Arabidopsis thaliana: one gene and its partner. The protein of the gene in region 1 purifies or fractionates together with the protein of each later gene. This does not show direct contact. Each region holds a gene or a part of one and is shown in the gene's direction. Other genes may lie near its edges.

Region 1 (4,714 bases):
CAAAAATCAGAAAGTTACAATGGGTTTGTGCACAAAACTCTACTATAGCGCTATACTGCTATTAGTTATACCATACTAGATATAATAAGTCAACGTCAATGGTCAGAGAATCAATATCCTTAGTTGCTCTATTAATAAGTATGTACTACCAGTTCCATAAGATCTTCGACGAACCTTACAAAATCTGGTATGTAATGTGAACTTCCTTAAACATAGTTCAAATAGAAACCAAATTCCATAAATCAACTAATACGTTAAATGTGAATGCATTTTACATTTTTCCTGGGTTACGTTAGCCAACACTACTACAAGAGTTGATCAACATTATAAAACCTAGATTGAATAGTCAAGGCACGAAACTTGTGCGTCTTACCAAACAACATTAGTATTAATTTAAAATGTTTGGGAAAAACAAAAGATTCAAGTATTCAACCTTTGACATACACAAACAAAATTGAATTTATACGAAAAAAAAAAAACAATTTCGTATGAAACTCAATGAAGAAAGTTTCATTCAAAACATAATGAAGAAAGTTTCAAAATCCACATCTGATATGTGAAGATTGACGTATATTTGATTTGTGGTTTCTATTTCTAATTTGCCATTTCAATAAAACGATTGGATATGCAAGGATAAGTTTGACTTCAACATCTTGCTTCGGTCCGGACCATTTTCCATTTCTTTTTCTCAGAGGTAAACTAGAATAGTTCTTGAAAGTTATCATAATATAATAGTAATAATAAAAGTAAAAGATTGAGACGTTGGCGGGATGAAATTCGTATAAATAGAGATGTCTATAGGTGAATAACACAAACACATCTTGTTCTTTTTGAAGATAAACGGAAAAAAAAAATGGTTATACACAAATCAATTACCCCAATCGCTCTGATGTTACTATTACTACTAGCGATCCATGCACATATTCAAGTCGTTGGTTCAACCACTGTAACCTCTGTCTCACTAGCCAATCTGAAACATGAAACGTCTTCTGAGATCAATTTTCCAGTTTGGCGTCGGGAGCTTCGCGGTGGCGGAGGAGGAGGCCGTGGTGGCGGTGGAGGTCATGGTGGAGGAGGTGGTGAGGATTTTGGTAACGGATGTAGAAGCGATGTTCTACAAAGTTTCTTGTTCATGGTTTTTATAAGTTATTGGCTTTTAGTGTAATATAACTGAATATTGTATATAGATTTTGATTATGTTTTCAGTGTTACTGTTTGATTTGCTGTAATATTGGTTTCACTTTTTCTTTCATATCCTTTTGTATTGTGTATTAGGGTTTATTCTGTGTCTTGCACGGACGTTTGTGGATTTTATTGTTATATTTGTCAATGCTTATTTAATATGTAAAATTATGTAATAAACTAAAATTATTTATGGTAAACCAAATAGCTTTTTTGTGTTTAGTAGGGATTCTAGATCTTTCTCAAAGTTTTGAATTTAAAGATCTCTTGGTTCAAATCCATTGTGGAAAGGTTTATGATAAATGTTGGTAAAGTTATAGCCGTATGAGAGGCTATTGAGAGCTATTAGCCATTAATCAAACTAATGAAAATCAATTTACAATAACCAAAAACTGAACAAATGATTTTTTTTTCTAAGTTAACAAAAACTAAAATGAAAAATATGTAACAAAATCTTATAATATTCCCTGTCATTCCTTAGATATTAATGAGGAATCTTATGACATTCCAAAAATGTATATTTAATAATCTTTATAAATTTAAAATTATTATTTAAATCAAAAAATCAAAGTGGTGCAGCGGAAGCGTGATGGGCCCATAACCCACAGGTCACAGGATCGAAACCTGTCTTTGATATAATCTTTTTTTTTTGGCAGATATATTTTATACAAAAATAAACAACCAAATGTAATGTTAACTTCTACTTGCATAGCCACACAAATATAATTTGGTTTGTATGTCATTGGTGATGTAAACTGAAATTGAAGATAATAGAATCTCATAACCACACAAAAAATGAATGAACGCAAATCAAAGCCTCTCAACACATCTCTTTGCCTCGGTCTCTCTCTCGCCCAATTGCCCATCACCAGAGCTTAATCATATCTTCTTCAGTTACTGCCACGTGTCACTCTGACCGTGAACAGCCTTTATCTCTTCCAAGTCCACTTGTGTTCTTGATTATTTTGTCTTCACCATTCTCTCTACTCAAAGCTCTTCTTCTTCGATCAAAAAACCTCGAGCTTCTAACAATGGAGACCAGCATCGCGTGCTACTCACGTGGGATCCTTCCCCCAAGTGTCTCTTCTCAACGATCCTCTACATTGGTCTCTCCTCCTTCCTACTCCACATCCTCCAGCTTCAAGGTTCGTTATCCTTTGCACTTATGCTTATCTTCAGTGTAGGATTTGTTCAGTACTAGTGATTACTAATTGTAATAATTTGATAAAAGCAGCGTCTAAAATCGAGCTCAATCTTCGGAGATTCACTACGATTAGCACCAAAATCGCAACTTAAAGCCACAAAAGCTAAGAGCAATGGTGCTTCAACTGTGACCAAATGTGAAATTGGCCAAAGCTTGGTTGAGTAACACAAAGACTCAATCTTTATTCAAATTCTGTATTATGAAGATTCCATCTTTCAGTTAAAGTTTCTTACTTTTGAATGTATAGGAAGAGTTTTTGGCACAAGCAACTCCTGACAAGGGATTGAGAACTTTGCTGATGTGTATGGGAGAAGCATTGAGAACAATAGCTTTTAAAGTTAGAACAGCTTCTTGCGGTGGAACAGCTTGTGTTAATTCCTTTGGTGATGAACAACTCGCTGTTGATATGCTTGCTGATAAGCTTCTCTTTGAGGTTTTTTGTTACATTTTGAATTAACTTATGTCATAAGCTTTGTATCAGAAAAATGGTTCATTAGGTTTTGATTTGTGTATTGGTTTTATAGGCTTTGCAATACTCGCATGTGTGCAAGTATGCTTGCTCTGAAGAAGTACCTGAGCTTCAAGACATGGGAGGTCCAGTGGAAGGTTGGTTTTACATAAACTTAACTAACATTTCCGCTTCTTTAAATCGCGCGAAAAATAGTTATCGAAAGAATATGAAATTTATTTGGACAGGTGGGTTTAGTGTTGCGTTTGATCCATTGGATGGATCAAGCATTGTGGATACAAATTTCACTGTGGGAACCATATTCGGTGTTTGGCCTGGAGACAAGTTAACCGGAATCACTGGAGGAGATCAAGTGGCTGCAGCCATGGGAATCTACGGTCCACGAACCACTTATGTTTTGGCTGTTAAGGGCTTTCCAGGAACTCATGAGTTCTTGCTTCTTGATGAAGGTTTTGGTCTAGTCCTGTTTTATCAAGATTCCTTCTTTGGTAAGCTTTTAAACTAAGCTCAAAATTTTGCCTCAGGGAAATGGCAGCATGTAAAGGAGACAACAGAGATCGCAGAAGGGAAAATGTTCTCACCAGGAAACTTAAGAGCCACATTCGACAACTCCGAATACAGCAAGGTTCTTGCTTTGGATCGATCTAACTTTAATCTTTGCTCAAATCTAATCCTCACTCTGAATGCTTTTCTTGTGAAATCAGCTGATTGATTACTACGTGAAAGAGAAATACACACTGCGATACACCGGAGGAATGGTTCCTGATGTTAACCAGGTTTGTTCTTCTTCAACACTATAACAGGATTTTTTCTACTTGTGACTGGAAACTTGACTTTAGTAGTAACTTGGGTTTTTGGCAGATTATTGTGAAGGAGAAAGGAATCTTCACAAATGTGACTTCTCCTACGGCTAAGGCAAAGTTGAGGCTGTTGTTTGAAGTGGCTCCTCTTGGCCTGCTCATAGAGAATGCTGGTGGATTCAGCAGTGATGGACACAAGTCCGTGCTTGACAAGACCATCATCAACCTCGACGATAGAACTCAAGTTGCTTATGGCTCAAAGAACGAGATCATCCGCTTCGAAGAAACCCTTTATGGAACATCAAGACTCAAGAATGTTCCCATTGGAGTTACCGCTTAGAAACTCATTCAAAATAAGTGAATGCATGTTTATTTTTCCATAAACCGGATAATCTACTTTTCCCTTGGTTTATAAGAGAAGCAACAAAACTTGTGATACAAGTTTTTTTTAAAAATTATTAGTTTGGTTTGGTGTTAATCAAAATTTTAACAACTAAAAACAAATAATGAAATCTGTCTGAAACTTTATTATCATATGATCAAAAACAATGTTTAAGCCGAAATTAAAGTTCCATGACTTATTATTATTGAACCGAAAAAACTTAAACCGAAATAAAACTTGATTACTCAACGCTCACTATCTTCACAACAGAGGAACCATCAATCTTGTGCAACGCCACAATCGAATCTCCATTCTTGCAAATTCCCTTCGTCTTCGCGAATCCGATAGCCAAATTAATCATCTCCTCCGTTGCATCTTTGTTTGAATCCCTAGCCGATGATCCCGTCGCCACCACCGGAATAATCCCACGGTAAATCAAACCACGTCTCGCCACATGAGCCACCGAGTCCGAGCACGACATCTCTATATCATTCCCTTGAGCAATCTCAGGCACAATCACCGACAAAATCGGAACGCTCGGCCTGTATTTAGCCACAAGCTCCGCCGTGTAACCGCCTTTGGTGAGAACGACGATAGCCGACGCAAAAACACTCTGTGCCGTCGAAACAACTGAAGCAGCTAAGCTCTCGATCGGAGATAACGGTAACGAAAGCATT
Region 2 (4,617 bases), on another chromosome or scaffold:
TAATGAGGATTATGACTACAAGTAGAAGTGAGAATCTAGCTGTGATTCACCTCTGTATGTTTTGTTGCCTTGAGATTAACTTAAAAACCCTTTCTCTTATTTCGATCAACAGGGGTGTGCTTGCAGCAATTGATGTCATCTCAGACAGTTTATTAGCTGGGGTATGAGCTATACACCTATTTTACATTTCATGACGACGCCTATAATATATTCAATGTGTCTAACCCTAATGAATGATGGCAGATCTTCTACTTTATCGGATTCGGTCTCTTCTGCTTGGAGTCACTGCTGAGTCTATGGGTTCTTCAGGTAAGCCTCTGATCATACTTTTCATGGCTTCTTCAAAACTGTTGACGTTGATGAAACCAGTAAACATTTGATTGATCTGGTTTCCCATTTTGGCTTTGCAGAAAATTTACCTCTACTTTAGGGGAAACAAGTGAAAAGGAGATAAAGAGGAAGATGATGGTAATTTTCCCTTACGATATAAGGTCTGAAATATGTGTATCTCCTATGAATGTAATTACCATTTTACCGTTTGATGCGTTGTGTTGATTGAGGTAAATTCTTTAGTTACTATAGTAGCAAGAGAGAGTGGTTGTTCGGCCATTTCTTTATGTTTTTTACTCTGTTCTTCTCTGGTCTGTAATATACCAATATCGTCTCTTAGCTTTTGGGATTTTTTTTCGGCGAAGTGGATGGACTATTTAGACAAAAAAAAATCATAGCTATGAATTATTAGTAGCGACTCTCTTCGGTCTGAATCTTAGAATCTGGTCCTTCTGATTATCATTGCGTATAACAAAGTATAGATGTTTCGATATGGCCGTGAACTTTATGAATTTTTTTTTTTGCAAACACCATGACTCGAGAGAGATAAAACTTCGTTAAATTCTTCTGTTGAGCAAAATAAGAACTTTTTTTCATTTGCAAACTCCATGAGTCAAAACTCAAAAGAGATTAAAGTAATTTTTTTGGAAAGATTTAATGTGAGTCCATAGTTTTTACTTTTTAACCTAACAAATTCTCTGACCCGTTATAGTTTCATGCTTGACATGGAAGTTGTATGGTGGTTGGTGGAGACTACGTTCAATGTGTCCAAGAATAAGCAACTAGTGCCGACTCTATCGCGGTCGATAAATAAACCATGGTTTTGTTTTTTTAATCCCGATGTAATCTCTTTTACTAATTACCCTACGGTGAAATTCATGAGTAATAAACTTCTGGTATCTGTTCACAAAAAAAAAAAAAAAAAAAAAACTCTTGGTGTCTTTATTAATTGGTAGGCTTGAAGCCCATTGTTAAGGTAACGCAAGAAGGCTTTGATCCCTATAGAAAAAAATAAAAGCATAAAAAGGTAAGTTGTTCAAAGACCATAAAGATTCGAAGCCAAGGGGGGATATACGGTGACGTGTAAATGTGACCCACATAATACTCTCTCCTTCATCTTCAGACCTTAAACACCTAATCCCCATCTGTCCAATTAGAATCTCCCACGTGTCAATTCAAATATCCAAATCCCAAAAAAATAAGCAAATAACCACCAAGCAACGTCTCCCTCCATGCCCTGTTAGTTTTATCACTTCATCGGCAACTCCACTCCTCTCCCAAACTCTATTCTCCAAATTATCTTTTAGCCAAAAAAATCAAACAAAATTACCATAAGTTTATTACTTCATGAAGTAAATAAGATATGATCTTTGGTTTTTTAATGGCTATAAATGTTTTCTTATCCTCTTATCTTATCAACAACATCTTAACATAGAGACTAATCAACATTACAAACAATTTTACTTCAAGAAACCAAAACATGAGCCAATCATCACACAACCACATTAAACCAAAACAAAACAAAATAAAACTCCTTTTCTTCTCTGCAAATTGCCATCTGTTTTTCCTATAGACCCATTGTCCTCCTCTCATTTCTCTCTTTCCCCATTTAATCTTATTTTCAAAAAAAAAAAAAATCACATCTCTATATCACCACACAAAAAACCATAAAATCAAAAATCGTTACCCACATTTCTTTCATTCTATCCTAAATCCTCATCACTCAACCTGAGCTCACAAAGCTAAACAAAAAAAAAAGAGCTTAGGCGGAGAAGAAGAGGAGACCAAAACACCAAACAAACAACAATGGCTGTCTCAACTATCTACTCAACACAAGCTCTCAATTCAACTCATTTCTTAACCTCTTCTTCCTCCTCCAAACAAGTCTTCCTCTACCGTCGTCAACCACAAACCAACCGTAGATTCAACACACTCATCACTTGCGCACAAGAAACCATCGTGATCGGACTAGCTGCTGACTCTGGCTGCGGCAAAAGTACCTTTATGCGGAGGCTCACCAGCGTCTTTGGTGGCGCTGCTAAGCCACCAAAAGGCGGGAACCCTGATTCCAACACACTCATCAGCGACACGACCACTGTGATCTGTCTTGATGATTACCATTCTTTGGATAGGTACGGTAGGAAAGAGCAGAAAGTCACCGCTTTGGACCCACGCGCCAATGACTTTGATCTCATGTATGAGCAAGTCAAAGCTCTTAAGAATGGTATAGCCGTCGAGAAACCGATTTATAACCATGTCACTGGACTTCTTGACCCTCCGGAGCTTATTCAGCCTCCTAAGATTCTTGTCATCGAAGGTCTTCACCCAATGTAAGCTACACATACTCTGTTATGATACTCTGTTTTGTATCTTAGACATACTCAAATTTTAGAGTTTGGAAGTCTCTTATCTTGTCGGAATTTCGATGATTAAGAATCTGGACTTAGATTTATACTAGAATCAGTATCAGAATAATTAAAGATGGATCTTTGAATCTATGCATGTAGTGTGTGACACCGATTAATTTTTATTCGAATAATTAAGTCTATAGTTTTGGTACTTGTAATGTTTTATAATAATATTTATCTACTTGTGAAGGTTTGATGAGCGAGTAAGAGACTTACTAGACTTCAGTATCTACTTGGACATTAGCAACGAAGTCAAATTCGCTTGGAAAATTCAGGTGAATTTCTTTGAATAATTCAACTACATTTACACCATTTTGTGGAACGTTTTCGGTTTATCTTATAAAACTGAATCTGTAACGTTTTTGATGGTCACAGAGGGACATGGCTGAAAGAGGTCACAGTTTGGAGAGCATCAAAGCGAGTATCGAAGCCCGAAAGCCCGACTTCGATGCATTCATCGGTAACACTCCTAATTTCTTGATGTAACCCCGTGTCATATTCGGCTTGATCAGTTTATAATATTTTCAATGGCTTATACAGACCCGCAAAAGCAGTACGCGGATGCGGTCATAGAAGTGCTTCCTACGACTCTGATCCCAGATGACAACGAAGGGAAAGTGTTGAGAGTGAGATTGATAATGAAGGAAGGTGTTAAGTACTTCAGCCCGGTTTACCTGTTCGATGAAGGTTCAACCATCTCGTGGATTCCTTGCGGCCGCAAACTCACTTGCTCGTACCCTGGCATCAAGTTCAACTACGAACCTGACTCCTACTTCGACCATGAGGTACATTCATATTGCATAATGACATATTGTGAGAAATGAATGAAAATGCATGTGTATGAGAATTTAGACTCATTGCATATATCTCCCTTTTTGTTTCTCTCAGGTATCAGTTTTGGAGATGGATGGACAATTTGATAGACTGGACGAGCTGATTTACGTGGAAAGTCACTTGAGCAACCTCTCGACCAAATTCTACGGAGAAGTCACTCAACAAATGCTCAAACATGCTGATTTCCCGGGTAGCAACAACGGTACTGGTCTTTTCCAAACCATTGTTGGATTGAAGATCAGAGATCTCTATGAGCAGCTCATTGCCAACAAAGCCACTGCTCGTGCAGAAGCTAAAGCCTAAAACAAACGAAGCGAAGCCAAATAGAACGCGTCGATAAATACATCCGCAGTTTCTTCTTTTTCTTATTTCTTTCTTTCTTTATGCGTTGTTTACCGCGGATTTTCATGGCGAAAAGGACGGTCTTGCTTGTTTGTAATTTGTGTGGAGATAAAAAGAAAAAGCCTGTAATGTAGAGAAGTGAATAGCAGAGCAATAACAGTTCAGTTTATAGAACGCCTTCAAAATTTGTTCTTTACAGCATCAAAGTAGATTCAAACCACAAATCAACTAAGCAAAAGAAAGAACAGTTTTATCCTATTGATCATACTCATGTTGAATACTTGAATGTCAAATAGCTTTTGGATTACAAATTACACAGTTCAAACTTCCTTATAGATTCCATATAAGAAAGCAAAGAAATTATACATACAAGTAACAATCCCATTTTCTTGCAATCACCAAGTACTACTTTGGGTACCAAAACATGCCTTTGATGCCTTCTGGATCAGCCTCAAACCCCAAGTTCTGATAGAAATCCACAACTACAAAAAAGGAACACAGATTCAACAACTAAGTAAGAACAAATCCAAATATTTTGACCACAAAAATTGCAGATTAAACAGTGATTCGATGTTTTACCTTGACTATCTGCAAACAGAGATATGTTACCAATATCTCTTTGAAGAAGAGCCCTTACAAGTTTTTCAACAAGAGCTTTACCTAGCCCTTGACCCTGAAACGTGAAAACAAACACAAACACCAA

What was found. Proteins that work in one complex are often made in the same cells at the same time.
Region 2: the proteins of SBPASE (region 1) and PRK fractionate together in Arabidopsis thaliana (co-fractionation; one large-scale study listed by BioGRID). This does not show direct contact.

Annotation. Positions count from the first base shown.
Region 1 is NC_003074.8:20,707,427-20,712,140, forward strand, and holds SBPASE (sedoheptulose-bisphosphatase), read left to right. Parts: upstream 1-1,867; 5' UTR 1,868-2,213; coding exon 2,214-2,327; intron 2,328-2,416; coding exon 2,417-2,542; intron 2,543-2,633; coding exon 2,634-2,819; intron 2,820-2,910; coding exon 2,911-2,992; intron 2,993-3,082; coding exon 3,083-3,304; intron 3,305-3,379; coding exon 3,380-3,480; intron 3,481-3,559; coding exon 3,560-3,631; intron 3,632-3,716; coding exon 3,717-3,995; 3' UTR 3,996-4,214; downstream 4,215-4,714. Other genes in the region: AT3G55790 (uncharacterized protein), read left to right, coding at 854-1,165; AT3G55810 (Pyruvate kinase family protein), read right to left, coding at 4,279-4,714.
Region 2 is NC_003070.9:11,530,532-11,535,148, forward strand, and holds PRK (phosphoribulokinase), read left to right. Parts: upstream 1-1,667; 5' UTR 1,668-2,136; coding exon 2,137-2,660; intron 2,661-2,928; coding exon 2,929-3,013; intron 3,014-3,113; coding exon 3,114-3,198; intron 3,199-3,278; coding exon 3,279-3,523; intron 3,524-3,626; coding exon 3,627-3,875; 3' UTR 3,876-4,108; downstream 4,109-4,617. Other genes in the region: SCAMP5 (SCAMP family protein), read left to right, coding at 113-161, 244-309, 411-443; NSI (nuclear shuttle interacting), read right to left, coding at 4,320-4,396, 4,494-4,587.